Notamacropus eugenii: one gene and its partners. The protein of the gene in region 4 interacts with the protein of the main gene of each other region in a pairwise test. Links are inferred from orthologs where the notes say so. Each region holds a gene or a part of one and is shown on either strand. Other genes may lie near its edges. The genes, in order: CCDC121, SFR1, SGF29 and RINT1.

Region 1 (7,036 bases), on a different chromosome or scaffold from region 4:
AGGAGCTCATAACATAAGTGGGGAGGGGAGAAATCAAGAACTAGACTTTCCAACAGACACACCTCCTACCACAACATGAGCTAGATCCCACACAAAGCTGAAAGGAACCTCAAAACTCATCTAATGCTGAACTCCTGAACAAAAATCTTCTCAAAATCTCTGAGTGAATGGTCACATTGCCTTCACCTGCAAACCTACAGGTCCCAAAAAAGCCAGTCCCACTTCTGGACAAACTGATTGTTAGGTCATTTGTCCTTAAGAAACCTTAGAAGAACCAATCCCCTCATTTCACAGATGAAGAAACTGTGTCACAGAGAGTTCACATGATTCATCCATGGTCATACAGCTAGAAAGTACCTGAGGTAGGACTGAGAATTTTCTGACTCCAAGTCCAGTGCATTATCAACAATACTATATTGCCTCTAGGGTGTTACAGGGAAAGCTATTTGTAAACCTTAACACACTGGAACCTCCATTTTAAGGAAGTGTCCAGGCCAAGTATGTTCACTCCTTCATTCTTATCTAATCCTGACTCTCTAAAAATTTTTCTATACCATGCCCTCACTTTTCCTTTTCTCCTCACAACCCCTCAGTTTCTTTTTATATATTGTCTTTCCATGTTAGAATGTAAGCTCCTTGAATGCCTTCCATGGCTATCTTTCTTCCTGCCCATATTTGTATTCCTAGCACTAAGGCCTGTGCCTGGTACAAAGACAGTACTTAATAAATGCTTGCTAACTTAAATTGAATTACGTTAAGTCGAAAATTTATTTTTTTGAAACTTCCACTCATTGCTCTGTGGTGGAAAGGCAGCATGACATAATGGAAAAAACCTTCCACTTGAAGTCAAAAAGACCTGGGTTTGAACCAGGTTCTGATACTTCCTAGCTGTAACTCTGGGAAGGAATTTCTTTAAGCTTTATCTGTAAAATACACACAATACTTTTAATATGAACACAGTACAAGGGGCTCAAAGGATCGTACAGTTAGAACTGGAAGGGGCTTTAAGGACCATCAAGTTCAATCCTCTCATTTTACAGATGAAGGAACTGGGTCACAGGGAAGTTATTAAGTGATCTGCCCTGGGTCAGACAACTATAAAGTTATCTGAGACAGGATCTGAATCCAGGATTTCATGATTCCAAGTCATTGCTTTATCCACTATACCCTGTTGTCTCTGTAAGGAAAGTTGTATGTAAACTTTAACACACCAAATAAATCTGAGTTGTTATGTTACTGACTTCTAAGGTCTGATATTTCTTCCACATAACATCGTTTTCCCCTTACATACTCTTCTCCAAGCTAAACCTCTCTACTTTCTTTAAATGACCCACATTTAGTAAAGTCTCCAAAGTCCCCAACTCAGCCAGTTTGCCCTTCTCCAGATACACTCCACTCTATCAATGATCTTCTCAAAAGGTGTTAACTCTGAGCAGCTTACAATACAGTATGAGCCATTTTAAGCAGAATTAATAGAATTTATTAATGAACCTTTCACTAAGCATTTATTATAGAAGTACTTGAAAAAATAACTTTAAGGCATGATCCAGCTTAAAAAGTTTTTCTGAATTAAAATGCATATAAATTTGTACAATTAAGTATATTTTCAAGTAATTATGATCCCATTTTCACTTGGGCCTTATTTCGTGAGGAGTACTCTTTTAAGAAACAGTAGATTCATTTTAGTAGTCTGCCTCTGAAAATAGCTTAAAAGACACTAAGACTCAATAGATGTCAAGGAATAAACTGGAAGGGGCTATGGAATGGAATGGAGAACACAGAACAAGACAATAGAACCTAAATTCCTTAAGGACAGAGAATATTCTGGTTCTGTATCCCAAGGGCGCAGGAATAAGAATAGAAAAAGGGATTGGAACTGTGATGTCATTGGTATAGAGAATTCTCAGATGAGGAAATGAGTTGTATAAATGAAGGGTGGCACCTTGGCAACTAATTAGAGTTGCCAGGAGCACTGAATTTAGATCTTCCTAGTCAAGGGAGGTCTCCATCTACTTACTCCACTTTGCTTCTCCCCTAGCAAATCATTTACTTAACAAATAAATTTTGGACACAGAGAATGAAATAACTTTTCAGTCCAAGTCTTCAACACTGTTGCAAACTAAAATTAGTATCTTGGCTTAATGATTGCCTTCCAATTTATAGCCATCTCATGACCAAAGACAACATAATTCAAGGTTACCCAAAAAGGTGAGAAATAGAATAAAACTATGGCTTGGGAATTAGGAAGCCCTAAAATACAAGAAGCCTAAGTGACACTAGGAGTCAATAACTTAGGGTCACAGATTTAAAGGAGAATTTCTTTTCCAATTTTTTCATTGTCTAGAAAAAGATGAAGTTCTTTAAATGGGAACAAGTGAACTGCGCAAAAATGGAAGGAGGTCCTATGGACAGGGGCAGATTCAGGATCACAGGCAGCCTTCATGATTGAACTCCTCAGGGATGTTAGAGTTGGCACTTAGGCTTTCCACGTAGACTGAATGTCACTTAGTTGTCAGATGTTGATCCATTGGTAGATTGTAAGACTGGATCAATCAATATGCATTAAGCATTTCCACTCATAAAATAAAGCAGTAATTGCCCTCAAGGTGCTATAAAGTACCCCAGGTTTCTTGGGACTCTAAGAACAGTCTGAGCCTCTTAGAACATCTCAGTGTCTACTGTTGAGTTAAATGTCTTCCTCAGTTCCAAATTTATCCCATACATAGCTTATTTATACATAGCTTTTTTTCAAGTCTGCCCTCTTAGACAGTGGGCTCCTCTTGAGTAGGAGCATTGATCGTTTTTTAAATGTCTTTTACCTTTTTTTCTTGTATCCCCAGCACTTGGCACGGTGCCTGTCACATAGACGGCACTTAAATGCTTACTGACTGACTGTTGCAAAGCGGACCTTTTGTCCCTTCAGTTTCCCAAATCTTAGTAAATGACGTCATAACATCCCCAGCTGAGCGAACAGGGCAGCCGGACAAGAGGAAGAGGGGGAGGCCGGGAGGGACCGCGCCAGGTTGGGACGCTGGGGCGGTGTAAGAGTGGTCGAAGAGCCCACAGGCCCGGCTCGACCCGCAACTTCTTAGGGCTCCTCCACACGTCGGGCCCACGCTCGCGCCGACTCACCGATGTTGGCTGGGAAGGGGACCTCGTGCACCGCAGGGTCCAGGTTGATCACGTAGGGCGGCGAGCCCAGGCCGTGAAGGTATCCCGTGAGCCTCTGCGGGAGACAAGGCGAAGGTGAAGGTGCTCCCGCCATCCCACCACCGCTACCCCGGGCAGCCGCGGCCAGGGCCCCTCCAGCAAGAGCCTCTCCCCACCTCACCTGTACGAATGTCGTCTTCCCAGACCCCGCCATCCCCAGCACCAGGAGACACACTGGAGGCCGAGGCCGGGGCTGGGGGCCCTCTGCCTCCGGAGCCGCCGCTCCCGCAGAAGAATCCATCTTGCCAGTGTGTACGGCAGCGCCTGCGCAGAGCGATGCTGGAAATGAGACTGAGTAGCAGTCCGACGGCAAGCGGGCAAAACGGAGCGGAATCAGAGTTTAGGTCGGATCTGGAGACAGGGCCAGGGACCCAGGAGGAGGAGGCAGGGTCAAGGGCGGAACCTGCCGTGGAAATTGAGAGTAGGGCGGAATCGAAGGCGGGGCCAAGGGCGGAACCTGCCGCGGAAATTGAGAGTAGGGCGGAATCGAAGGCGGGGCCAAGGGCGGGGCCAAAGGCAAGGCCTGCACTGAGATTTGAGAGTAGGGCTGAATCGAAGGCGGGGCCAAGGGCGGAACCTGCCGTGGAAATTGAGAATAGGGCGGAATCGAAGGCGGGGACAAGGGCGGGGCCAAAGGCAGGGCTTGCACTGAGATTTGAGAGTAGGGCGGAATCGAAGGCGGGTCCAAGGGCGGGGCCAAAGGCAGGGCCTGCACTGGGATTTGAGAGTAGGGCGGAATCGAAGGCGGGGCCAAGGGCGGGGCCAAAGGCAGGGCCTGCACTGGGATTTGAGAGTAGAGTAGAATCAGAGGCGGGGGCAGAAGAGGGGGCGGAGCCTGCACAGGGACCTGAGACTGGGGTGGAATATGAAGAAGAATCCAATCACCTGGGTTCCGTCGCTGGTCCCAGGACTGGTTTTGAAGACGTTCTGAGGCTCGAATGGATCAAGGATATTCCAGAGCGGGTGCAAAAAGAAAGCACAGGTGAAGAAGTGGTGAGGAGAGCGGGCGACAAAAATGGCGAAAAGTTGGGTTCGACTCAACTGGGGAAGGACTGGGAAGTGGACGAGAATTCTAAGTCCTCCAGAGAAGAAAGTGTTCGGGAAGAGAGCGACGACACCCTGAGCTCCGAGGCTCAGCCTGCCACAGGCAGGAAAGAAGTGGGCAAAGGCGACTACTGTGTCCTCTGTACGGTGCCCAAGACCCCAGACCAGGACAAGAGCTCTCGGTCCTCTGGCCCTGGGAAAACTCAGAAGTGGTCACCGGACGTCAATCTTCCTGTAGGGTTGTACGTCGACACTTGTTGGGTTCCCAGAAGCTTCCACAGGGAGGAACTCATGAGACTCAATCTTTCGCGTGGAGTTCCTTCCCTGGCCTCCACCCCCGCTACCCTTGTGCACCGTGTCCAGCAGTTTTGGGATCAGCAACATTTGAGTACTCGTAACAGGTGAGCTCAAAAAGGGTCGGAGGGAGCAAAGGAGGAAAACCTCTCCAAAGCAGAGACCCATGGGGGGAAAGGGTTAGCTTAGCAAGAGATGGCAAAGGATAAACAGCTAAAAAAAAAAAAAAAAAGATTCTCCCAACTTTTCTCCCAGTTCTTGTACTGCACTGGACAGAGCATCTACCTCAGGTAAGGAGTTGGAAGGAACCTCAGAGACTTTCTTGAGCAACCCACATGTGAGACAAAAACCCCCTCCACAACATGCCCCGAAATAGCCTTTGCTAGAGGACTTCCAGAGAAAGGGAATCTTCCAGTCAATCAACAAACATTTAGTAAGCACCTACCAGGCACTGTACTAGGATCTGGGGACAGAAATGCAAATAAGGTTTTAAAAACTCCTTTTGACTTTATATTTCCTTGTCAGCCTCAGAACATCCAGAGTTTTGCCATTACTGAATCTATTGTTACAAAACAGTGGCATGCTTTTGTACACCTCTTCTGTAATCTGCCCTACCTCCTTGGATTTTGTCTATACCCAGAGGTCAAAAGCTGTGATAGATCCTACCAAGCTGGAAAGAGTAGATTAGTTGGGAAATATTGTCACCCTAGGACCAGCCTAGCTAAGATCAAAAAAGCTTCATTACTTAGAGTTTGGCTACTGAATAATAAATTTTTTGACCACAGAAATTCATAAAGTGATTTATAAAGGCACATTAGGAGTTGCAGTCTGTCAATAAGAGGAGAACATACAATGAAATCATATGTCTTTTGAACATAACAGCTCACACTGTCCTTTGAATTTTTGAGAGTTGCTTAGGAGAGGTGAAAGAGTTGGTGGCTTGAGCCAATGAAGGATGACACACTGAGTGTCATGAAAGATAAGTGACATCAAGGTAATAATAATAGCTCACAAATAATCATAAAGGTATAATGGAGAAATAACATATTTCTGGCTGCTTTTCCCCCAGATTTTTTCGGGGTCCCAGAATGATATGGCAGAATCTGAATCTGAATCGTAATATTGCTTTGCTAATGGGTAGCAAAAAGCTACAGCAGTTTTTAAAGTCACAGGAGGAGTTGGAGAAAAGGGTGCAGAAAGAGCTGGCAATAAAGGCACAGGTAGAGGAGAAAATGATCCAGCTGAATGGGGAACTGATGCAAACACGAGCCCGGAGGAGGCAGCTCATAGATGATCATTGCCACATGCAAGCTGAAATCCAACCATTCTTAGGTGACAGCCCTGTCCTAATGGGATATGTACCTGATCCAACCAAGAAAAAACAGGTAGCACCAATTAAGGTATGGGATCAACAGACACAACAGTTGGAGCAGATACAATGTCAAAGGCAGGAGCTGGTCTCCAGTTATGAGTCCCATATATCATCACTCCGGGAAGAGCTGCTGCGACAAGAAGAGACCCAAGCCCAACTGAAAAAGAAGATTCAAGCATTAAATGCTAGGAGGACAATAAAGATTACCCAGGAGGAGCTTATCAAATCACTGCAAATGGAAAAACCAAGAGTCCAGAAGGAGGCCAAAGCACACCTTCATAGTGTACAAGGTGATCTGGTTAAAGAGTGGAGAGCACTGAAGCATCAGCTATCTGATGTAGAGCTTTTGCTGGGGAAAAGTATGATGGGAAAGCACAACCATATCCTGGAACATGCAGCAGACAAATCTATCCTTGATTTCACCTGGCAACTGCAAAATGAGAATGAACAATTGCATAAGGAAATGGTACGGCTTATTCAAGAAGCCCAGCAGCTAGAGGCCCAGCGGACCAGGCTTCGAAAGCAGAAGCAGCAACTACAGCTAGAGCAGTGTTGCCTGGAGAGCATCAAAGAAGGGAGACGGCGTCAACTACTAAGAGCTGTTCCCTGTCAGAAAGGACAAAGCAGTTCAAAGACCACGCTGGCCCCTCTCCCAGGTACCAAACCAAGGATGAATTCATCCTAATTAGTGAGAATATTTATTATACATCCACCTAAGCAGATTTTGTTAGTTGCTGTACAAAGTAACTTAAGTGATCTCTGCCTCTAGGATCTTGTAATTTTAAATGGAAAAAAAATGAAATGAATATGAAATAGAAGGCTATCAGTCAGACTGTAGAAAGAGGGATGAAACACAACAGTAGAAAAGTTCATATTTAAAAACCTATTTCTGGTAAAAAAAAATCTATGGAAAATGACTTAAGATAATAGCTTATTGAAAGTATTAAAAGGAGAGTTAAGTTCACTTAGCACTTCTTCTGTAGTGCTGTTTAACATTTAATTCCTGGAATTATCTATACCTCCCTCACTCACTTCATCCTCCGATGATAAAACAGAATCCATCTCAGTATCTTCCAGCATCTCAACATTTAACTGACTGGCTTCCCTGGCTGCTTA
Region 2 (7,863 bases), on a different chromosome or scaffold from region 4:
TCATGCTACTAGTCCTTCAGGTGAGCAACCTGGACCTTACCCTAGTCCTCACTATCTCTCATACCCTCCCCATATCTAATCTGTTGCCAAGGTGTTGATTTCACCTTCAAAACAAATCTCAGATGCCACCTTCTGTCCTTTGACATTGCTACCATTCTAAGTTCAGGTGCTCATCACCTCAAACTTAGACTATTCTAGTATCCTTCTGGTGGGTCTCTTCACTCCAGTCTATCCTGCATTGAGTCACCAAAGTAATTTTCCTAAAGTGCACATCTGATCACATCACCTCTCTCCTGAATAAACCCCAGTGGCTCTCTATGGAATCTAGGATCAGATACAAAATCCTCTATTTGGCATTCAAAGCCCTTCATAACCTAGTCCCTACCTTTCCAATTTTGTTACACCTTACTCCCCATCACATTTTTTCTGATCCAAACACTGGGCCTCCTGGCTATTCAAACAAATAAGCTGCTCTGGGCACTTTCTCTGGCTGTCTCACATACCAGGAATGCTGTCCCTCATTATCTCCATCTACTGGTTTCCTTTTTTTTTCTTGATTTAAAATTTTTTTTTTAACATATAATTTATTTTCAGTTTACAACATTCACTTCCACAAGATTCTGAATTCCAATTTTCTCCCCTTCTCTCCCCAATCCCTACCCCTAGACAGCAACCCCAAAAACCCCTTCTCCCAATCTGTCATCCCTTCTATCACCCCTACCTTTGGGCAAGACAGATTTCTATACCTCTTACCCAAACATCTTATTTCCCAATTGCATGCAAAAACAATAGTGGCTTCCTTTTAAGTCCCTACTAAAATCTCATTTTCTACAGGAAGAAATGAATTCTAGTGCCTTCCCTCTGTTATTTCTTATTTATCCAAAATAAAGCTTGCTTGCACTTATTTGTTTACTTGTGGTCATTCCCTGTAGATCTTGTTCTCCATGAGGGCAGGGATTGTCTTTAGCCTCCCCAGATCTTGGTACTGTGCCTAGAACCTAACAGATGCTTCATGTTTGTTGACTGACTAAATAAACACTTGGCAGTCATAATTAAGCAGAGCGGAGAGAAGGTGCTTTTTACTGAACTGAAATGACTACTTCACTACACCACAGAGAAGACAAGGATGGGGTATGGTAAGACTAAAGTGTTTTGGTTTTTTTTAAAAGATTTGCAAAATGCTTTAACTCTACTGAAGTAGAATGTATAGTCCTTGACTGAATGTTTCTATTACAGAGCACAGTGTATAAAGTAGATCATAGGATTTAAAGTTAAAAGAGACTTTGGAAATCATTTGATTCAACTCTTATTTTACCAAAGGAGGAACTTTAGCTCTGAGAAGTTAAAGATTCGCCCAGGTAAGTGGGGGGAAAATAAATATTTATATAGCATCTATCTGTAAAGTACCGTGCTAAGGACTTTACAAATATTATCTCATTTGATCCGCAAAACAACACTGGCATTATCCCTTTTTACAGCTGAGAAAACTGAGTCAAACAGAGGTAAGTAACTTGCCCAGTCTGAAGTTGGATCTGAAGTCAGGTCTTCCTGAGTCTGGGTCTACCCTTTTATCCACAGGACCACCTAGCCGTCTCCCATCTCTAAAAGCTTCTAATCTAAAGGAGGGTGGGGGAGAAGGGCGGAAGATTATTATAAAAAACACAAGAAAAAGTATAAATGCAAAGGACTGGTCCAAGAAAAGTGATTTAAGAAAGGGATGGAGGTGAGGGACCCCCAGGGTACCTCTATGGGGAAAGGTCTTCAGGAGGAAACGTCCAGGGGCTGGCTCTGGAGGAGAGGGATGGGCTTCAACAACACCTTCCCAAGCACGGAGGACGGTGCGAGGAGTCAGGGGCCTGAATTCAAATCCAACCTCTGCTGCTTACTGCCTGGGAAAACCTAACCTCCACTGACCCTGGCTCCTTCTCCATCAAACAAGCGGCCTCAACGAGTCATCTCTGGATCTGATCTCCCACGGGGGCTGCCTGAGCCTGGAGAGGCAGGGGGGCGCCGGGGGTGCCGGGGCCCGGGCTGCCAGGGGTGCCAGGGCCCGGGCTGCCGGCGCCCGGGCTGCCAGGTCTCGGGGCGCTTTTCCTACCTGTTTCCCCGGACTATTATTCCGAGTTAGTGTCCCGGGGTCGCCGGCCTCGGGGGCAGCCGCTAAGGACGTGGTTTTAGCTGAGGGAAGGTCCATCTCCGGATGGACAGGAGGACGTTCAGGTCTGCTCTAGAAACAAAACAGGAAACAAACTAGGTTCCAACCTCCAACCACCTCTCCCTCCCCGGACCCGAGCCCAGTTCTGAGGCCTGTCTGTGACTCCGGTGCCGCGGCCGAGGGGGGCTGCCTCTGACCCGAGGCTTCGGGCCACCCTGGGGCCGGGGCCCGCGGCTCCCAAGCTCCGCTGCAGCCCCGCCCCAGCCCGGCCGGAGGCGCGCTCGGCCCCGGGGCGGCCCAGAAGAACCCCAGGCCCAGCTGCCTCAGCGTGCCTCTGGGGAGGGCGGTTCCAGCTGCTGGCTGGGCCGGGACTCCGGCCTCGGCTCAGAAACGGGGTTCGTTCCTACTCGCGGGCCGGGGACACACGCTGCCGCTCCGGTCCGAGAACGCACCTGAGGCGGCGCTTGCCAGAAGCGCGGGCCGCCTAGGAGAATGGGCCCCACCCACTCCAGACAGAGGAAACGGCCTCGCTGTACGCACGCGCGCTGGGGTGGGGATTACAGGCCACCGGCATCCACGCCCCGCCCCTTCTTCGCTTGGCGGGAAACATAACCAAACTCGAGACGAGACATCATTGGTCAGCCGAGCGGAAAAGGCGGGGCAGGAACGAGGGGGGCGGGGAGGGGCGGGGCTTTTGTTTGCTTCCTGGAACTCCTACTAGATATTTAAAAAGCCTACCTCGGCGTTTGCGCGCTTTTATTCCGCCACTCCCTAAAGAGCTACGTAAGGACGTCTAGGCCCCGAATCTTGGTAAACGTAGTCCAAAGCTGCCACCGCGTCATCCCCTCCGCTTCAAGTCCAGCTTCCACAACAGAACGGATCGGGGCCATCTCCCTTTGCAGCCGCCCGGTTACACTCGACGAGGTCCAAGAGGCCGCTAGAATCCAAGGCAGAATTCGAACCTATTCGAACTTCGGCCTTGCACACGCCCTAATTCACAAACCCACCCCCTCCATCTTCTCCTGAAACGGATCCTTGGCTCGGACGCCGCTGTGCCCTCCTTCCCCGCGCAGTGCCCCATGGGAATTCCCTAATCCCTGAGATCCCCTGGCCCTTCCCCCTCCATGACTTCCTAGTGCTTTGGGGGTTAACTCTCATAGCCTGTGTTACGTAAGACGGAGGCGTCGTCTTGGAAGTGCGGCTTGGCGGCGCAGTGCGGGGGAGCCCCGGCCCGGAGGGGAGCCCCGGCCCGGGGTCGGGGTGTGAGCTCTGATGTGGCTTCTCCGCTCCGCGGTGTTACCCGGAGCAAGGCCTCTGTCTGCCTCAGTTTCCTCAAATGTAAAATAAGTTGGAGAAGAGAATGGTGAACCACCCAGTGCTTGACCGAGAAAAGCCCGGGAAAAACAACAGTCCGCGGGACCTGGGAGAGCCGGGTAAGCCCCGGGTGGGAGGGGAGAGCCGGTCTTCTCCCCCCCCAAGCCTTCCACCAGGCCCAGGGGAGGCCCAGCTTCAGGACTCCGCGGGGGGCGGCAGAGCGCTGCCCCTTACGTAAGGGTACAAGTGCATTTGTGAACGCGCCTGCTCCCCAGCAGGGATCCCACCGAGAAGTGGGGAGCTGAGCTGGAAAGTGGCGTGACGTCCCCGCAGGCCTGGGCAGCTCCGAAGCCGAGTGAGCGCTTCACCCCAAAGCAGACGCTTGTGTGAGGTGTAGACCTTCGAGGTACAAGCTTACCTTCGGAGACTCCCCTCACTCTTGTTGGGGGGCGCTTACACACTGATCCTGGGTTTATGATAAACACTTATTGTTTACGCTCAAGCCTGTAGCTGTCAAGGTTGGTTATTACCAAGAGTATCTTCTGATTTATCCATCAAAAGGCCACGGCTCTGACCCCTGGAATTCCCCACTCCCCTACCCATTTCCTGGATCTCCCCCTCCCCTTGGGAATGGGACCCTCTGCTTCCTTCCTTCCTTGGACCAACCTAATTCCTGCCTTTTCTCCCAATTCTTTATATCATCCTACCCACTGCTCAGTTGAGTTGTTCAGCATTAGGCTGACGGCTCCCATGCACGTCTTATTTCCCTGCTTAATAAAACCTTTAATTTCATAGGCATTGTCTTTCTCTGGTTTTCTTCCCTTTAGGGAAAAGGGGGATTTGGATCTCAAGAATTGGCCTTTGTGTTCTCAGGCTGTTTTCCCCTTTTGGGGAGAAGAGAGATCTAAATTCCCTAGAGTGCGCTCCAGTTTACAAAAAGGAGCAACCCCTTTGCCACACGTGATTTCCAAGCCTAGCCCACGTTTCCCTGAACTTTATATGCACTTGTGGCAGTACTCCCGTTTGGGGGGATGGGAGGAGATGTTTTGCACTCTTCTTAATATACTAGCATAATCAATACTTCTTTCTAAAGGTTAAGTCTGGCTAGCTAATTGATAGGACCTCATAATCAGTTGGGGGCTGCTGGGCAATGGCATTAAAAAGAAACCCCCAGTCACTCATCTTTACACCTTGAACCCTCAGGAAAGAAGTAGGCAGCCACCCTCTAGAGGTTTGCAGCTTTCCAGGCTGCCAGAGGCAAAAGGGCTTTGAGATAAGAGATAGAGAGGCTGCACTGATAGAATGGTAGCTGTTCTGATCTTCACTTTAATAAGAGAGGAAGCTGAGAGATGATGTCCTTTGCCCCTGTTCACAAAAGAGCCAAAATCTGGACCCAGATCCTCTGATTACGTACAAATCCATAGCAATTACTCCAATAAACATTCAACTGTATCCCACAATTTTTTTTAATTAGAAAGGAGTTCCATTGGTGAAGACAAGATTAATTCCATTACAGTTGTGAGCTCAAGTTGACAGCAACACATTGAAGTAAACATTTGCTTCAGGCATTAAGAGACCAAAATGTAGAAAATATTGATTTGAGAATCTTCATAATCAGTAGAGAGCTGATAGCACAAGCTCACTGTAGGAGTAAGACATCCAGAGGAAGGCTCAAAGGCCTTGTGGGACATGCAAAGAGGAAGCATCAAGCTAAGGAAACAGAATGAGTGTAAAGGAGAGGATGGGTATGAGAACAATCTGTAAAAAAATTATGCAACATTCCATACAGGATATGATTTTTATTAGTATGGAGGGAAACCTAGAGAGCAAGGTATAGAACCTTTTCTGCTGATCACTCTCCCCTCACAGACCATAATCACAGGCCTCAGGACTGTTCTGAAAATAGAGATCCATGAAATTTTGATAAGTTTTCTCATCTGTCAGGAAGGCTGATACTGCAGGATCCTTCTTCATGGCTGCTACCCAGAGCTTCAGTTTTGAAGTGTGGTCGATACAACTGAGAGAAGAGATTTTTTTTAAAAAAAGAAGGGAGTTATTACTTGCATGAAATCGGAAAGCACCACAAATTTTCACATTTATTAGTATTTTTCCTTGCAGTTTATTTCATTTTTTACTATAACCTTTAAAAAATACTTCCCCACCTTGAACAGACCATCCTGTACCCCTGGCCACCCTCTCTAGGACTGGGAAATGTGGGGGAGCAGTATTGTGGGGATTCTTTTTCAGCAATGAGTTAGACTAGATGGAGCCTGCAGTCCCTTCTGGGTCTGAATTTCTGTGTTTTTCTCATTTTCCCTATCATAGTGGGTTAGAAGGTGTGAGGAAAGGTTCATTTAGACCCCTACTCTATTCTAATCAGTATTAATAAATTTGATATTTTATGTAAATCATATATGGATAATTAGAAAAGATAGGTTCTTATAGTAGGCTTCCAACTTTAATCCAGTTTTTAACACTTGTTTACCAGTTACAAAGCTCACTTGCACACCCACAAGAATGCTGACAAAGATAACTTCATCCTGTTTTGCTCAAATTCCAAGTCCAAACCCAGTGTGGATGCCTTAATTCTTTGGAAAGTCTCCCCAGCTAATTTTTGTACCTCCAAACCACTCTCTCTTGTCCCAGAAGGTAACCATCTTATGACTCCTTAGTCACCAAAGATGACTATTGCTTTGCCATATTATGAATAATTAGTCAATAGAGACGTTGTGTGCTTTACCCAACCTAGGATCCCCTTGCTGATAAACTGTTTTTTAGTTGACGCACCATTTTTGGCCCTCAAAACAAGGTTTATCAACCAATGGGATTTTGTATTTTGTGTCGCCTCTCAAGCGTCCAGGTATCAATCCTATATAAACAAGGTCCTGGTGATCAAGGGTGTCTCCAACTGCGAGGAAGATATGAGGTCCACTTCATTAGAGGGGGCCATGGACCCTTTAATAATATGCTATTGGCTTGGAGCTGTGACTGAGGGACTTTTCTTGCAGATTGGACAATTTTTGATCCCACAGAGGAAGAATAGGTATACGCCTTCCTTACTCTTATTTTCAAATTGTCCCTTTCTTATCATCATTCAGCAAGCATCTGCTTCTTTGAAGTTCACTACATCCCTCTTGATTATCTGAGTCCAAACTTTGTCTTGTGTCCAGATTTTCACATCCAGATCATTCTACCTCCTTTCTTTTCCTCTTTTCTTCATTTCCTTTTATATATATATATATATATATTTTAAAATTTAATGGATTATTTGTTTTCAGTTTTCAACAATCACTTCCATATGTTTTAAATGTTTTCCTCCTCCCTTTCCTCTCCCTCCCCAAGATGGCATGCAATCTTATATGGGTTCTACAGTTATATTCTCAAAAGTCATGTTGCATAGAAGAATTAAAACAAATAAGAGAAACCATGAGAAAAACCAAACCAAACCAAAACATAACACAAGAGAAAATAGTCTGCTTCCTTCTGCATTTTGATTTCGTAGTCCTTTCTCTGGATGTGGATGGCATTTTCCCTCGAGTCCTTTGGGAATGTTTTAGGTTCTTGTGTTGCTGGGAAGGGCTAAGTCTATCAGAAACAGTCCTCGAACATTGTGGCCTAGCTCCTTTCTTTAGAGCTCAGTAACTTTCTCACAGTCTTCCGCTAACTCCTGCCCTGGCTCTTGGGCATTTAAGCATATGCAGCAATGTCCCCCCAAACACCTTGACCTAACTAATTATTGTCAGAGCCAAATGTCTATATGTCGAACAATCTTGCTATTGATTTAAAATGATTGTTAAAGTATTAGAAACATGCACTAAAACCACCCACTATATTAAATACAGCCCATCTTTAAAGGCCACATTATAGTGCTATAAATAAAAGCAAATAATTCTCATGAAAACAGTTGAGAAGAAAGCCAAAATGATAGGCTATCATAATGTGCTGACTCTCAATCAGTCTTTGCAATCTGGGTTGTTTGACTAGGGTAAGTATGAAAAACTTAAATATTAAACATTATCAAAGGGGGGGAGGGACATCAAGCTTTGCTTTGGGCAACCAGGCTGTTGTTGTTCACCCTTTGTTGTCAAAGAGGACCAATGACATCATGAGCAAGTGGATTTAAGTAAGGCAAAGTTGCCCAGTATTCACCCTGACGCTTGTGATAATTGGGATGTACATTTGCATTTTTTAACCAGGAGAATACAAAGTTACGCTAAAACGTGACTTTACTTCCTAACACCCTAATCTTTCTCCCAAAAAAGGTTCAATAATTTGGGATGAAATTATTTCAAAAAGCATCCTCCATAATACCAAGAAGTTCACAATAAAATGATAAACTCTCTTACTCAGCTATCCCATATGATCCCAGACGATCAAACCAGGGCCAAATAAGG
Region 3 (7,298 bases), on a different chromosome or scaffold from region 4:
ATCAAAGATCTGAGAGCTGAAGGACTTCAGATTGTCATCTAGTCCATCCTCCTCCTTCTACAGATAAAGAAACTGAGGCTCATGGAGGTTATATCACTTCTGAAATGTCAGACGGCATCAAAGACAAGATTTGAACCCAGGCCTCTGGGTCCTCAGCCAATGCTCTTTCCACTGCGCTCCCTACGTCTCTCAGATGCAGATGGAGGTCTCTATGTTGGTTGGTTTTACTCATTTTTTTTTTTTTTTGGTTACAAGAGAGAAATTAAAGAAATGGAAGCAGGGAAGGTTAGGGTTTTTACTTATTTTCATCAATAAAACTTTGCTTAAACATACACCTATCCACAACTTTATTGTAACCATTATGCATACCTAGTTTCTCCTATATATGTGTGTGTGTGTGTGTGTGTGTGTGTGTGTGTGTGTGTGTGTGTGTGTGTGTGTGTGTGTATACACACACATATATATATACCTCATCCATGTTTTGCTTAACTATTTAAAATGGTACAATGGGGAAGAAAAAATTAATAAAACTTGAAAATAAAACCCCCAAACTTCCTGAATATCTCACTTCCCTTACTATGACTTAGGAACATCTAATCAACATTTCAAAATAACATCATTAATACTTTATAGCCAATTCAGTTGCAATTTTAGCTATCAGATTGTCCAACAACCTCTGCTCCCTTTAGTCTCCTGTCCTTCAGACCTAAAGCTCACTTGTCCTCTAGCCTTTTCTCCAACCCCCCAGACTTCTGTTCTTTTTTCTGTTCAGGAACCACCACTTACAACGCTGTTCCTCTGGCACTGAACAGCACCTCTAATACTGGTTTATTCTAAAATCATGTTTTCAGCACTGTAGGAAGGAAGCCTATGGGACCTTAATTCCCTTTCTAATCACCCTCTGAGTCTTCCCAAGGTCATCCCCTCTTCTGAGGAGAAGAATCAAGTATCACCTGAGTTTGCTTGATCAGCTGATGGAGCTCCGTGAGTAGTTCAGCTATTCTCGAGTCTGCTGACACCAGAGCCATGGCTGTGGTAAATATGGCTTTCTGTGAGAAAGGGGAATGGAAGGGAAGAAAAGAATGGTCAAAAACCTCTGGGAGGGGAGGCTCCTAAAGGACCAACCACACTGGGGCATTCAGTAAGTTTAATTCATCCAGCAACAATTGCAAACAAGTTGCTCAGAAAGCATGGCATTGCAATAACAACAGGGGTATTTTAAAAAGAAGATTTAGTCCATGTCCTCCCCGTGCTTACAATCTATCAAGAAGAAAAGCAATATCCATGAGATAAGAGAAAAAACTGGATTTGAAGTCAGGGGACTAAAAGCTATGCCACTCACTAGCTTTGTGACCTTATGCAAATAAATTTATTTCTGAGTCTCAGTTTCTTCATCTGTAAAACTAAGTGATCACTAAAATGTCCTTCCAACTCCAGATTCTATGAGGCTAATACTAAGAAAAAACGATAACTTTATCAGTTATGAATTACTGAGTTAGTTTATAGTAGGTCTCAAACTACTGACAGGTATTAAGGAAATTCCAAGTTTTAAATGAGGTTTGGCAGGCAAAAATGTGTCTTAGCAGAAGGCCTTAAGATTACTAAAAAACAAGGGAAATTCTACTGAAGGGGAACCTACAACAACAAGGAGGAGATAGCATTGCACCTGCAGAAGCTGTTAAGACAAGTGGGGTTAAAAAAGAAGGGTCATGTATAGAAGCAATAGCAGGTGAAAAGACACAGTAAGGTAACTGTTTGAAGGGGCCCTGGACTGCAAGGACCCTGGATAATTTTGATTTAATGGAACCTAGTTTTTACAGCTAGAAAGGACCTCAGAGATCTGTAAGTCAGCTTCCTCAGAGAGGAAAGCCCAGAGAGAAAGCCACTTTTACCCAAAGCTATACAGGTAGTAAATAAAAAAGTTGCTATCTGAACTCTTGGTGCTCTGACTCCAAATTCAGCGTTCAAACTATTCTAGCAATAAGATGCTTTGGAAAGGGGGAAAAGACCAAAAGCAAGGAAATCTGCTGTCCTCCTAAATTCATCCCTTATAACTCCCAAAGGGATTTGTTCCCATAATTTTTTCCTTTTTTACAACAGAAATCAGAATATTTGGGGGATTAATTCCCCATCTGTTTATTATCCCAGCAGTTTACTACCTGAAGTGTTCTCAGACATATCCCTTGGCTTTTCTGCAGCTCAGTTTTCATATGAAGGAAATGAAGGGGTTGGGGGTGCGTGATATGATGCTTTTACCTGTAACTTCTCCCTTTACACAGCTGCAACCCCACTACCTTCTAACATACACAAGTCTCCACCTAGAAAAATTCTTCATTTGGGCTCCCTGTCAACTCCGACCAAAGGAGTCTGGACCTGATCTCACAAGAAAGAGGAGATCAGGGAAGGGCTTTCAGACCGAAAGGCGGGAGAGCCATGATTCGGGGGACAACCCCCAGAACCTGCGCAGAAGGGCGACCCCCCAGGGGGCCGGCTCCCCCACTGACTACCAGCCCCGGCACCTTGGGCAGGCTGGGATACCTGGTGACGCTGTGTCCTCCTCCGTTAAACGGGGTGATCCTGGCACTACCTACCTCCCAAGGCGGCTGGGGAACAAGAACTAAGCCAACTTCAAGTCGGCCCCCAAGCTCCCGGGAAAGCCCCGGGGTTCCCTCGCGCTACCGACCTCGTGGCGCTGCAGGAAGGAGCGCTCTAAGGGGCTTTCTAAACGGCCGCCACTATCACTACCGCGGCTTTCGGGAGAAGGACCCGCCGAAGCCATGCTCTCCTTCATGGCCGCCCGCAGCTCCTCCTGCGCTCCGCGCTCCTCGCACCGAAGCACGTGCTTCGGAAAGCTTTGCCTCCTCCCCACCAGCCCACGTGCTTCCAAAGGCCGCCCCCCACGTGGTACGCCAGGCGCGGCCCCGGCGAACAAAGAACCCTCCGCGGCGGGTGCGTGACCTCTCCCCCCTCCCCGCAGCCCCCCTTCCCGGAGCCCCGCAGGGTGCGCATGCGTACTGTTAGTGTCTTGGGGCACCACAGCCTGGCCCGGGATGGGGGGAGCACAACGGGTGAGATGTTGCCGCTCCCCGCTGCCCCGCTCCCCTGGTCCGCCTGAGGCCCATGGCTGCTACCTAAACCCACCTACCGCGGACGAGCCAAAACGAGCCCACTGTGACGGAGGCGATGAAGACCGCAGCGACGGCAACTGCAACAACCCCCCTGAACTTTTCTCATCCTCGTTCCCGGGCTAGGGAATGTTAGTGCGCTTGCGTATGCGCACCTACATGGCCTGCCGGGAAATGTAGTCTTTCTCTCCAAAGAGACTGCGGAAAGGGACCCGGGACTCGACTTCTACGCGCTGGCCCGGCGTGCTCTTTGCTGGGAAATGTAGTTTTAAGTCCTGCGTTTGGCAAGCTTCAGAATCTTGTCTTTTTTCCTGTTACACGTTCCCGGTTTACGTTCCTCTAGATTCTGCGTTCATCTGTAGAGGATTTGTATTACAGAGCCTTAGGAGCTCAGGTTTTCTGCTAATTGCTGTGCAGTCGTATCCGACCCTTCGGAACCCCATTTGGGGTTTTCTTGGGGACGATACCGGAGCGATTTGCCATTTCCTTCTCCAGCTAGATGAGGAAACGGAGGTAGAGTTGAGAAGAGAGGGAGTCATACAAGGGCTTTCATACTGAAAGAGGTATTTTAGGAAAATTGGTGTGGCCGAGGTACAGGAGAACGATGTTTCAGGTGATAACAGCCTGCACCTGGGCAGAAAAAGGAGCAGTGGGCGGTGTCGAGGGGCAGAACCCACAGAGGACCAGCTCCCCTGCTTACTACCACCCCCAGGTCTTGGGCCACGCTCCCACTAGTAAGTGTCTGAGGCCGGATTTGAACTCGGGAAGGTGAGTCTTCCTGACTCCAGGCTCAGCACTCTGTCCCTGCGCCCCCCTAGTTGCCCGAAGTCAAACCATCTACTTCTTAGTATCATCAGTGAGGGGGGTCGTTGCTGAGGACGATGGAGAAGTGTAGAGTAGGTACCTGTCCTAGGGTCCACTGAGTGACAGATGCTTAAGAGCTGAAAGACAGTTCAGAAATCATCCAACTGAGTCTCTTCATTTAATAAGGAAGACACCTAAGGCTGAAAGAAAGTAGGTGTTTCCCCCACGCAGATCATACAGCTACTTTGTATCACTGGGACCTTACCTAGTTAGGTCGGTTAGCATCACTAAACATAGAACTGAAAGACTTGGCATGAAGAGTTTAGAGAGATGTTTGTATCCTTCACCTTCAGTTTCTAGGAATGCATATAAAACAGTAGCAAGTAATACAGGACAAATTCTGAATTTCAGATTAATCACTATCTAATCAGACCTTCCTAATGAAATTCCACTACTCATTCCTAATAGCTAGATGATGAGAGCACAGTACTTGGAATGAAAAAGACCTGAATTTAAATCCTACCTCAAACATTTATTAGGTGGGTAAGTCACTTAAGCTTTTTCTGCCTCAGTTTTCTCATCTGTGAATTCATGCAGTAATAGCACCTATCTCCCAGGGTCCTTGTGAAGATAGAAACTAGACGATTTTTATAAAGCTAATTATATAAATAATAATTGTTATTACCTAGCATCTGTTTAAACATTTTAAGACATAAATTTTTATTGATAATCTTTTGTTTTTACATCACCTAATTTTTTCTTATATCCTTCTCCCTTGCATCTTCCATATAGTCATCCCTTGTAACAAAGAATTTTTTAAAAATGAAAAATAAGAGAGAAAAAAACCAATCAATATATCTAAAAAACTCTGACAATATATTCAATGTTGTAAACCCCATAGTTCCCCCATTTTTGCAAAAAGAGTAGGAGAAGGGTGTAGGTCTCTTCTCATATCTTTTTTTAAAAATTATTTTATTTGTTTTCAGTGTTCTACAATCACTTGCATGTATCTTAGATTTTTTCCCCTCTCTCCCCCTCCTTTCCCACCACCTCCCCAAGATGGCGTGCCATCTTATATAGGTTCTACACATATGTTCCTATTAAATACATTTTCACCGTAGTCATGTTGAATAATTAAAATGAATAGGAGAAACCATAAAACAAAACATAATACAAAAGAAAATGGTCTACTTCATTCTGCGATCCAGTTCCATAGTTCTTTCTCTGAATGTGAAAGGCGTTTTGCCTCAAAAATCCATTGGGAATTTTTTAGGTCCTTGCATTGCTATGAAGAACTAAATCTACAAGAAAAATTCCCCACACACTGTGGTTGTTGCTGTGCACAAAGTTCTCCTGGTTCTGCTCCTTTCACTCAGCATCATTTCGTATAAGTCCTTCCAGGCCTCTCTGAAGTCTTCCTGTTCATCATTTCTTATAGTACAATAGTATTCCATTACATTTCTATATCACAATTTGTTCAACCATTCCCCAATTGATGGGCATCCCCTCAATTTCCAGTTCTTGGCCACCACAAAGAGAGCTGCTATAAACATCTTTGTACATGAGACCCTTTCCCATTTTTATGATCTCTTTGGGATCTCGTATCTTCTTTAGGGCAAAATTTGTGCTGCAACACTTTAAGTGACAAGGAGCTCATTACCTCAATAGGGAGTGAGTGGGATAGGTTTAGTGAAGACTTCTCAGATTGTAATTCTTCTCCCAGGAGTGAGGTAAGACCTAGAGGCTCAAGGTTACAATATTTTTAGAATAGAATAGTTCCATATAAGGATATAAAACTGTGTAGTATATTAGGGTCTCAATGACTGGATAAAACTTATGTAATTCCTCGATGTCTTCATTTCAAAAGGGATTGGTTAGATTTCGTGTCTAGAATGTAAGATCATATTCTCAGCTAATGAGGATGATGGTCAGTGGGGGGAGGAGGGACTTGCATTAGGGTCTATATAAATCACTGCCCTTTTCTTTGTCTTCAGCTTTCCTACTCCTACAGGTTAGCCCCGCTTCTCGAGAATCGAATAAATCACTTTTCTGTCATCACTTTGAGAGTCCTCTGAGTAATTGATTTATGTAGGGACCTGAGCCATTCCACACAGTTGCCTATTTTATTGTTGGACAATTGTAACTGTTAGCAGTTAAAACTTCCTCTCTGTAACTTACATTCATTGTACAAGTTTTATTCTCTGGAGCCAAGGAGAATGTCTAATCCCACTTCCATATAACTCTTCAAATATTTGAAGACTCAACCAAACAAAATCTTGTATTGGACACAACACAATTTAAAAGGCATTGTTATTCATCATCATCACCATTATCATCATAATAATAAACAGCTAGCATTTATATACTTTAAGGTTTGCAAAGCAGTTTACAAATACCTCATTTTATTCTTACAAGCACCATTGGAGGTAGGTGTTTTTGTTATCCCTATTTTATTGATGAGGAACTTAAAGTAGACTAAGAAGTGACTTTCCCAGGGTCACACACCTAGTGTCTGAGTCAAGATTTAAACTCAGGTCTTCCTGACATTAAGTGAAATCCTCTAAGAAGAGAAGATTGTAAAAATGGTAAAAATCACAGCATTAATGTCAGAAAAGGTGCAAGAAGATATTAGGAGTTAGTTCATAGTTCTGCTTTTCACCTATGTCAGGTGTTTATGAAAATGATCTTTACACTTAGTAATGGGTGTTCTTCACGAAAATACCAAAATGGAACAAATAGAATTTCAAAGATGATTCTCTGCAGCAGACCACATCTTCATGTTGAAGTGCAGGGCATGGGTCTCAATGTTGTCTCAAAAGAATTCAGACTCAGACTGTCTCCAAATCAAGTAAGGGCATCGATTTGGAGTGATGCACCCAGTGGACTCTAATTCAGTGAGACAGCAGCAGCAGTCAGGAGAAGCTAGGGATTTTAATACAGGAAATGTGCCACGAGGGCAAGGAGATGAGGTAATCAGGAATATGCAGGCAAAGGGTGAAAGCTCAGAGTTCTGTGAATATCCTGTTCAGATAAGTCTTCATTTCATTGGCCAGCCCATTTGTCCAGGGCAGATCTCATTATTAATCTCATCATTCAGAGTTACAACACTGCTTGAGAGGTAGAATGAATTCAAGATCATTCTTGCCTTTCAAGCCTTCTTATACCTGGCTCACCACTACATACTCCGTGTTCCAGTAACGCTGGTCTTCTTGCTATTTCATGGACAAGATCTTTTAATCTCTGGGTCTGGGCATCTTCTCTGACTGTCCCTCATACCTGAAATGTCCTTCTTCATCTGCTTACTGCCTTCCCTGGCTTCCTTGTTAATACTATATGGTTGCAAATCATGAAATATGATGATCTACAAAA
Region 4 (7,784 bases):
GAGCATCTGAATTTAATCTCACACTGAATAGCAGCCCTGCCCCCGCCCAAAGCCCTGAGGCTGGAAGCAGCATTTGAATCTCAGACCCCAAACACTGGCTGGGAGGATCAGGAGGTGAGGTGGGTGTGAGGAAAATATTCAGAGGTCAAGTCACTGGCTGGGAAAATGCCCAGAAAAGGGAAAAGAAATAAGACTATAGAAGGTTACTTTCTTGGTGAACAGGCATTTCCTCCCTTCCTTTCTGATGAGGAAGAACAATGCTTACCATCAGGCAAAGACACAGAAATCAAGGCTTCTGTGTCCCAGCCCACTCAATGGGCACAGGCCATGAAAGAGCTCAAAAAGAATTTTGAAAATCAAGTTAGAGAGGTGGAGGAAAAGCTGGGAAGAGAAATGAGAGACATGAAGTCAAAGCATGAACAGCAAATCAGCTCCCTGCTAAAGGAGACCCAAAAAAATGTTGAAGAAAATAACACCTTGAAAACTAGCCTAACTCAATTGGCAAAAGAGGTTCAAAAAGCCAATGAGGAGAAGAATGCTTTCAAAAGCAGAATTAGCCAAATGGAAAAGGAGATTCAAAAGCTCACTGAAGAAAATAGTTCTTTCAAAATTAGAATGGAACAGATGGAGGCTAATGACTTTATGAGAAACCAAAAAATCACAAAACAAAACCAAAAGAATGAAAAAATGGAAGATAATGTGAAATATCTCATTGGAAAAACAACTGACCTGGAAAATAGAGCCAGGAGAGACAATTTAAAAATTGTGGGCCTACCTGAAAGCCATGATCAGAAAAAGAGCCTAGACATCATCTTTCATGAAATTATCAATGAAAACTGCCCTGAGATTCTAGAACCAGAGGGCAAAATAAATATTCAAGGAATCCACAGAACACCGCCTGAAAGAGATCCAAAAAGAGAAACTCCTAGGAACATTGTGGCCAAATTCCAGAACTCCCAGGTGAAAGAGAAAATATTGCAAGCAGCTAGAAAGAAACAATTCAAGTATTGTGGAAATACAATCAGGATAACACAAGATCTAGCAGCTTCTACATTAAGGGATCGAAGGGCATGGAATAGGATATTCCAGAAGTCAAAGGAACTAGGACTAAAACCAAGAATCACCTACCCAGCAAAACTGAGTATAATACTTCAGGGGAAAAATTGGTCTTTCAATGAAATAGAGGATTTTCAAGCATTCTTGATGAAAAGACCAGAGCTGAAAAGAAAATTTGACTTCCAAACACAAGAATGAAGAGAACCATGAAAAGGTGAACAGCAAAGAGAAGTCATAAGGGACTTACTAAAGTTGAACTGTTTACATTCCTACATGGAAAGACAATATTTGTAACTCTTGAAACATTTCAGTATCTGGGTACTGGGTGGGATTACACACACACACATGCACACACGCACACACACATAGAGACAGAGTGCACAGAGTGAATTGAAGAGGATGGGATCATATCTTAAAAAAAAATGAAATCAAGCAGTGAGAGAGAAAGATATTGGGAGGAGAAAGGGAGAATTGAATGGGGCAAATTATCTCTCATAAAAGAGGCAAGCAAAAGACTCATTAGTGGAGGGATAAAGAGGGGAGGTGAGAGAAAAACATGAAGTCTACTCTCATCACATTCCACTAAAGGAAAGAATAAAATGCCTACTCATCTTGGTATGAAAACCTATCTTACAATACAGAAAAGTGGAGGATAAGGGGATAAGCAGAGTGGGGGGGGATGATAGAAGGGAGGGCATGGGGAGGAGAGTGCAATTTGAGGTCAACACTCATGGGGAGGGATAGGATCAAAAGAGAATAGAAGTAATGGGGGACAGGATAGGATGGAGGGAAATATAGTTAGTCCTATACAACACAACTATTATGGAAGTCATTTGCAAAACTACACAGATTTGGCCTATATTGAATTGCTTGCCTTCCAAAGGGAAGGGGTGGAGAGGGAGGGAGCTAAAGAAGTTGGAACTCAAAGTGTTAGGATCAGCTGTAATGTTCTTACCACTAGGAAATAAGAAATACAGGTAAAGGGGAATAGAAAGCTATCTGGCCCTACAGGACAAAAGAGAAGACAGAGACAAGGGCAGAGAGGGATGATAGAAGAGAGAGCAGATTGGTCATAGGGGCAATTAGAATGCTTGGCGTTTGGGGGGGGAGGGGAGAAAAGGGGAAAAATTTGAAACCCAAAATTTTGTGAAAATGAATGTTAAAAGCTAAATAAAAAAAAAAAAAAGAAAAAAGAAAAAAAGAAGAAAAAAAAAAAAAAAGAAATGAGGAGCAGGCAGATTTCAGAAAAACCTGGAAAGACTTGTATGAACTGATGCTGAGTGAAGTCAGCAGAACCAGGAGAACATTGTACACAGTAACAGCCACATTGTTTGATGACTGACAGATAGACTTTTCTTAGCATGCAAGGATCTAAGACAACTCCAAAAGACTCATGATGGAAAATGGTGTCCACATCCAAAAAAAGAACTATGGAGTCTGAATGTAGATCAAAACACATTATTTGCTCTCTCTTTTTTCTTTTTTTGTTTCTTTCTTGTTTCTCATGGTTTCTCCCATTGGTTCTAATTCTTCTTTACAACATGACTAATGTGAAAATTGGTTTAATATGAATGTATACGGAGCACTTATATCAAATTGCAGGCTGTCTTGGGGTGGGGGAGGGGAGAGATGGGGAGAGATTTGGAACTCAAAATTTTATGGAAGTGGATGTTGAAAACTAAAAATTAATGAATTAATTAGAAAAAATATAGTCAGGGTGGCAGTTCAGTAGTAACTCCAAATTCCAGTATTAATTTACCTGAAAAGCACATCTTTCCCTAGTACAACAATCATTATACCAACTGTTTGTTTTAAGAGAGGTTCACATATATTTCTTCCCAATAGTCAAGATCATGAAAGGAGAAAAATAAGACCAGTGCAAGGGTGATGGAGTGGAAGAGCAGGTGAGACCAGTGATTAGAAGATGAAAATTCTGTTTTGGAGGAGTGAGGAAGAGATGGAAAAGGAGAGGAGAGGAATATAGGTTCAGACTGCATAATGACCTACATGTGAACCAGGAAACCAATTTTCTGTTCATGTTTTAAATTTTCCTGGATAGTATTAAAATGCATTCTTTGAGGCTCCTCTGATATCGTCCCCATGGGTAATGCCACCCATGATGATTTCGACCCCTTCTAGACCTTAGTCATTTCATGAGTCTATGGTCAATCTTCCCCTGGTGACTCTCTCTAAATCTGATAAAATAGTCCTCTAATGCAACAGATTCAGTCTGTCACTAAGCTCATTTATTAAAATCCAAATGTTACCAAATTACAACCTTAAATGGAGAAGAAAAAAGTTTGTTTTCATTCCTCTTCACTTTATTTTTTTTAAGTATTATACTACCAAAAGTATAGTTGTTAAGTGTCAGTGACTGAGGTCTGAATACAGGATATAGATGAAGATGACTGGGGGAAGGAGGAAATTAAATACAAATTTTAAATACACATTTTAGGAAATAAATCCCAGCACCTGAATAAACTCTTGTTTGTTTATCCCATCTTGTGTTCACTTTTTTTTTTTTAACAAAGCAGTTAAAAGTTAGATCCTAACTAAAAAAGTTCATTTGAAAAAACTCCACCTTTTTCTTGCCTTTAACTGGGGTTCCAAATTCTAATAATCTCAGATGATGTTTGTATCATTGCACAGGAACTGAACTCTTCCTAGTTCCTAACCTTCCTCTTCCTCTTCCTAACCTCTATTCCTAGTTAATCTTGAAATTTCTATTAATTTTGAGTTAATCTTGAGCTCATCTTCTTTGCTGAAGAGTGTCTAAGAGAATCACTCTTGACAAAATTAGAAAGCAGAAAATTTGGGAAATTGTATTTGCCTTAGGATCCTCAAAGTCTCAGATATAATACTTTATATTATATAATACTTTCAGACACAATACTTTCCTTCAGAGAAGGGTTGGAAGGGCCAGGAATACCTCTTCAGTTGTCATAATCAAGGAGTGAAGGAGGTGGAGGTAGAGTCATGGAGTCAGGGATCATTAAAATTGGACCTTGAAATTCAGCCTCTTCATTGGATAAATAAGGAAATGGAGGCACAGAGTCATCTGGGGAACTCTGGTTCAGTGGAAAGATCAATGAATTTAAGAGTCAGAGGACCTGTGTTCAAATTCTGACTTTGTCAGTTATGACTATGTGACCCTGGGCAAGTCTCTTAACCTCTCTGGGTCTCAGTTACCTTGTCTGTAGAATGAGTTTGGACTCCTACCAGCTCTAAATCTGTGATATTAGTGAATCGCTCAGAAGTGATAGGAGTTTGTGTTGGATTATCCACTTTCCTTAGTGACTAACAGCCCACATTTTGGGTACCCACAACCCTTAATAAAGGCCAGGACACTTGTCTCCTTTGAGCAAAGTTAAAAGGCATAGAAAAACAATGGACCAGTTATCCCAAATGCCATGCCATTAGGGTGGGGAGATTTGGTTGCATATATTTGCCATCATGCAAAATTTGGAAGGTGGTACTATTGGCATTTTTTTTCTTTAAAAAAAACAAACAATTTCACAGTATTTCAACTTCACAAAACTATAATGGTGTGACTGCACTTATGGATTTTATTGTTTAAATCTTCAAAATAAAATACAGAGGATTTTAGGTGCATAAAGCAGTATTCCTTGCTACTACAACTGTTCTCAACCATCATCTGCAAGATTTGTGATCCATTAGTAATAACAATAGCTAACATTTTATATAGTGCCTTAAGATTTGCAAAGTCAAAGTACTTTCCATATGTTATCTCACTGGATCCTCACCACAACCCTGTGAGGTAGGTGCCATTTTACAGATGAGGAAACTGAGAATGAGAGACACAGCACCATTTGTCCAGCAAGGTTCAAATTCAGGTCAGCCTGACTCTATGTCCAGTGCCCTGTATCCACCATGTCACTTCTGTTTGCCTCCATACAACATGCAAGCTTATGATTAGTAAATGTAAATGTTACATATAATGCGATGTCATTATTGGTAATTCTTGATGTTTACTGCTGCTACTACTGCTGCTGCCGCTACTTTTTAGAGGCATCTCTACTCCAAATCTTCATTTGTGCTGGACTTATGGTAGTCTCCCAAGCTCAGCCACAGTACACCCCGTACCTTGACCCCAACATAGTGATGTCATTTTGGTCTTCTTCAAGCATAAAGGACAACAACCAACCAACTACTACCAGTACTATCACTACGACCATGACCCAGGTTCCTAGGAAGTTCTTAGACTAGCATCAGGACCAGTTTTTGTCTGGCCTCCCCGTAAGAACTGCAGCGCGACCTCCAGGCAGGCGGTGGCGCCACAGGCTAGTTATCCGCGGCCGGGGAAAACGAAGAGTGTGTTCCTCTGGGAACGAGGGGAAGGAGTCAGCGAGTTCGGGAGAGGAAGTGGCGTGGGCGGCCACCGCGGCATCCTCCGGGTGAAACGCCCGTCTCGGCGTCTGCGAGTCCGGTCCTGGAGGGGCTCCCTCGGCGCCTCTCACAGGCTGCCCCGGGCAGGCGGGCTGCGCATGGAGCCGAGAAGACGGAGAGCAGACGGCGGCCGGCGCTGAGCCGAGGTCAGGGGAGACCACGCGGGCCGGGGGCGAAGGACCTCCCCTAAGTAAAGCCCGCGAGAGCCTCCCAGGCGGCTTACGCCCGGGAGGGCTGCGGTGCGGTGTCCTGGGTTCGAGTCCGAGCTCTGACGCTTATTACCTACCCGTCCCAGGCCAAGTTACCTGACCTCCCTCCACTGCAGCTTTTCCAGCCTGCAAAGTCAGGGAGGACTTGGGGGTGCATTTCTGGGGGGGTCCGTGAATTCTGAACTTTTACAACTTGTTAATAGCTGAAAGTCTCCAAAGCTTTCTCTGTGATCAGGGTCGATCTGGACGTTGTGCCTGTACCACCCTAATGCAGACTGGTGGGCGCCCACCGTGTGCCAGTCTGGGCGGGGCGGGGAGGGACGCGGCGTGCCAGCAGCTTGTAGAAACAAGAGAAGTAAAAAAACTGAGTAATAAAGACAAACGCGACAGGGTGAACTGGAAATACATCCGCAGATTAATAAATAATTCCTAAGGGGGCGGGGACACCAAGAGTAAGGAGACTTGAGAAAGGTGGCACTTTAATGGAGACTTGAAGGAAGGCCAGGGAAGCTGGGAGGCTGGGAGAAGGATGAAGCCGGTGACAATGCTAGGAGCTTCGGATGGAGTGTTGGGTGTGGGAAAGAGCCAGAAAGGCGGCGTGTCCTGGTGGGGGAACGTAGGGAGAAGGGTAGGAGGGAGCCAAGTTTAACTGATGGTTTTCTGTTTCATCTGGATGTCCTGGAGAGCTGCTGGAGCTGATTGAGGGAAGGGTAGAAGTTGTCATACACTTAGGAAAGATCAGGGGTGGGCAGGAGTGCAGAGAGACTGGGCAGGAGACCAGTCAGAAGGCTGTGGCAGTAGTTAAAGCTTGAGGTGTAGGAAAGGCAAGAAATATCAATGATCTCCCACATTATTTACCCCGTCGGATGATGACCCTTTTCCCATATGGTGTTTTGTATATGATAAATCTTTGTTACCAGCCTGTAACTTAGTAGCTAAGTCTTAGAGAGTTACCTGAAGCACATGGAAGTTAAAGGATTTAGAGCGCACATCTTACACCAAAGTGTCAGTTTAATAAATGCTTGTGGATCGTCTGAGTGATTCTAGTGTGCCGTCACGTGTATGTTCTGTAGCATACAGTTGTTGTTATTCAGTAAATTTTTTGCTTTACAATTTAAAAAAAAATTAGGAGATCTAAGAATGGCAGCTCCTGTCAGAAAAGAACAGACCAACCAAGATGTAGATACCTGTGATATCCCCTCCTACGTGTCTGAATTTGTGGAAAAGGAAGTTGGAAATGATCTTCAATCTTTAAAGAAACTTGGAAAACTCATAGAACAGTTGACAAACAATAAAGTACAATTAGAAGAACAGGTAAGTATTAAAAATTAAAATTGAATTGTACATTTGATGAGTTCCTTGCACATTTATGTAGAATGAATAGCTGTTGGTAAAAACAGGAAAAATATTCATGGCATTTTGACTTTGGGATCAGGAGAGTTAGGTAATAGTTGTATAGCTCTTAAATTTATAAAGGATCCACCACCTATTAAGTATTCTGCAAAATAAATAAAAGACAAATTTCCTACTTGAATGACATTATGTAATTGGAAAAATGATGTTGGTAATGTTGGTAACATTTTATGGAGCTTTTATTATAATTACTTTAAAATGCTTTTACACTTAGTTGTATTATTGTCTTTTTGGCAAAGATTAAGAAATTTTCTTTCTACTACATTGGTGAAAAATAAATTCTGTGTCCATATTCTTTTTTTCCCTGAACAGTGCATACTTTTTGTAATATATTGTTGTTTAAAATATATTTTTACCTATGTCGCTGTCAAAATGGATGCAAGATTAGCATTCCTAATCTCTTATATTTCCATAATATGGGAATCTGTAGTAAATCTTACGGTACCATTCTAAATATAGGAAAAACTTCCTCTTTTTCCCTTCCCTCCCCTGCCCTCTCCTATCCTCCCCTCCCCTCTGTGTATAGCAATACCTTTTTACTGATTTTCCTCTTATTTTATCACATTTAAATATAAACAAGCTACAGTCTAGAGTGAATGATGTTACTGGTTCTGCGTGACACAGAGAATCCCTAGTTGTTTAGTTGTTACAGGGCTTTCTCTCGAACCCCAAATTCCCTGACCTTATTCTGGTTTTGAA

The links.
Region 1: the proteins of RINT1 (region 4) and CCDC121 interact in binary tests that used the Homo sapiens proteins (3 or more experiments, as listed by UniProt). The two-hybrid records come from large-scale screens. The link is inferred for Notamacropus eugenii from reciprocal best matches to the Homo sapiens genes RINT1 and CCDC121.
Region 2: the proteins of RINT1 (region 4) and SFR1 interact in binary tests that used the Homo sapiens proteins (3 or more experiments, as listed by UniProt). The two-hybrid records come from large-scale screens. The link is inferred for Notamacropus eugenii from reciprocal best matches to the Homo sapiens genes RINT1 and SFR1.
Region 3: the proteins of RINT1 (region 4) and SGF29 interact in binary tests that used the Homo sapiens proteins (3 or more experiments, as listed by UniProt). The two-hybrid records come from large-scale screens. The link is inferred for Notamacropus eugenii from reciprocal best matches to the Homo sapiens genes RINT1 and SGF29.

The regions. Positions count from the first base shown.
Region 1 is NC_092872.1:528,878,810-528,885,845, reverse strand, and holds the start of CCDC121 (coiled-coil domain-containing protein 121), read left to right. Parts: upstream 1-4,034; 5' UTR 4,035-4,743; coding exon 4,744-4,838; intron 4,839-5,617; coding exon 5,618-6,576; intron 6,577-7,036. Other genes in the region: GPN1 (GPN-loop GTPase 1), read right to left, coding at 3,133-3,226, 3,332-3,451.
Region 2 is NC_092872.1:182,659,577-182,667,439, reverse strand, and holds the start of SFR1 (swi5-dependent recombination DNA repair protein 1 homolog), read right to left. Parts: upstream 3,001-7,863; 5' UTR 2,894-3,000; intron 2,745-2,893; exon of another isoform or gene 2,488-2,744; intron 2,228-2,487; 5' UTR 2,195-2,227; coding exon 2,099-2,194; intron 1,789-2,098; exon of another isoform or gene 1,744-1,788; intron 1,617-1,743; exon of another isoform or gene 1,516-1,616; intron 1-1,515. Other genes in the region: glutathione S-transferase omega-1-like, read right to left, coding at 5,333-5,486, 7,816-7,863. UniProt on the Homo sapiens protein: Component of the SWI5-SFR1 complex, a complex required for double-strand break repair via homologous recombination. Acts as a transcriptional modulator for ESR1.
Region 3 is NC_092872.1:46,715,769-46,723,066, reverse strand, and holds the start of SGF29 (SAGA-associated factor 29), read right to left. Parts: upstream 3,004-7,298; 5' UTR 2,792-3,003; coding exon 2,684-2,791; intron 1,050-2,683; coding exon 954-1,049; intron 1-953. UniProt on the Homo sapiens protein: Chromatin reader component of some histone acetyltransferase (HAT) SAGA-type complexes like the TFTC-HAT, ATAC or STAGA complexes.
Region 4 is NC_092874.1:150,325,933-150,333,716, reverse strand, and holds the start of RINT1 (RAD50-interacting protein 1), read left to right. Parts: upstream 1-4,766; 5' UTR 4,767-5,609; intron 5,610-6,801; 5' UTR 6,802-6,812; coding exon 6,813-6,986; intron 6,987-7,784. UniProt on the Homo sapiens protein: Involved in regulation of membrane traffic between the Golgi and the endoplasmic reticulum (ER); the function is proposed to depend on its association in the NRZ complex which is believed to play a role in SNARE assembly at the ER.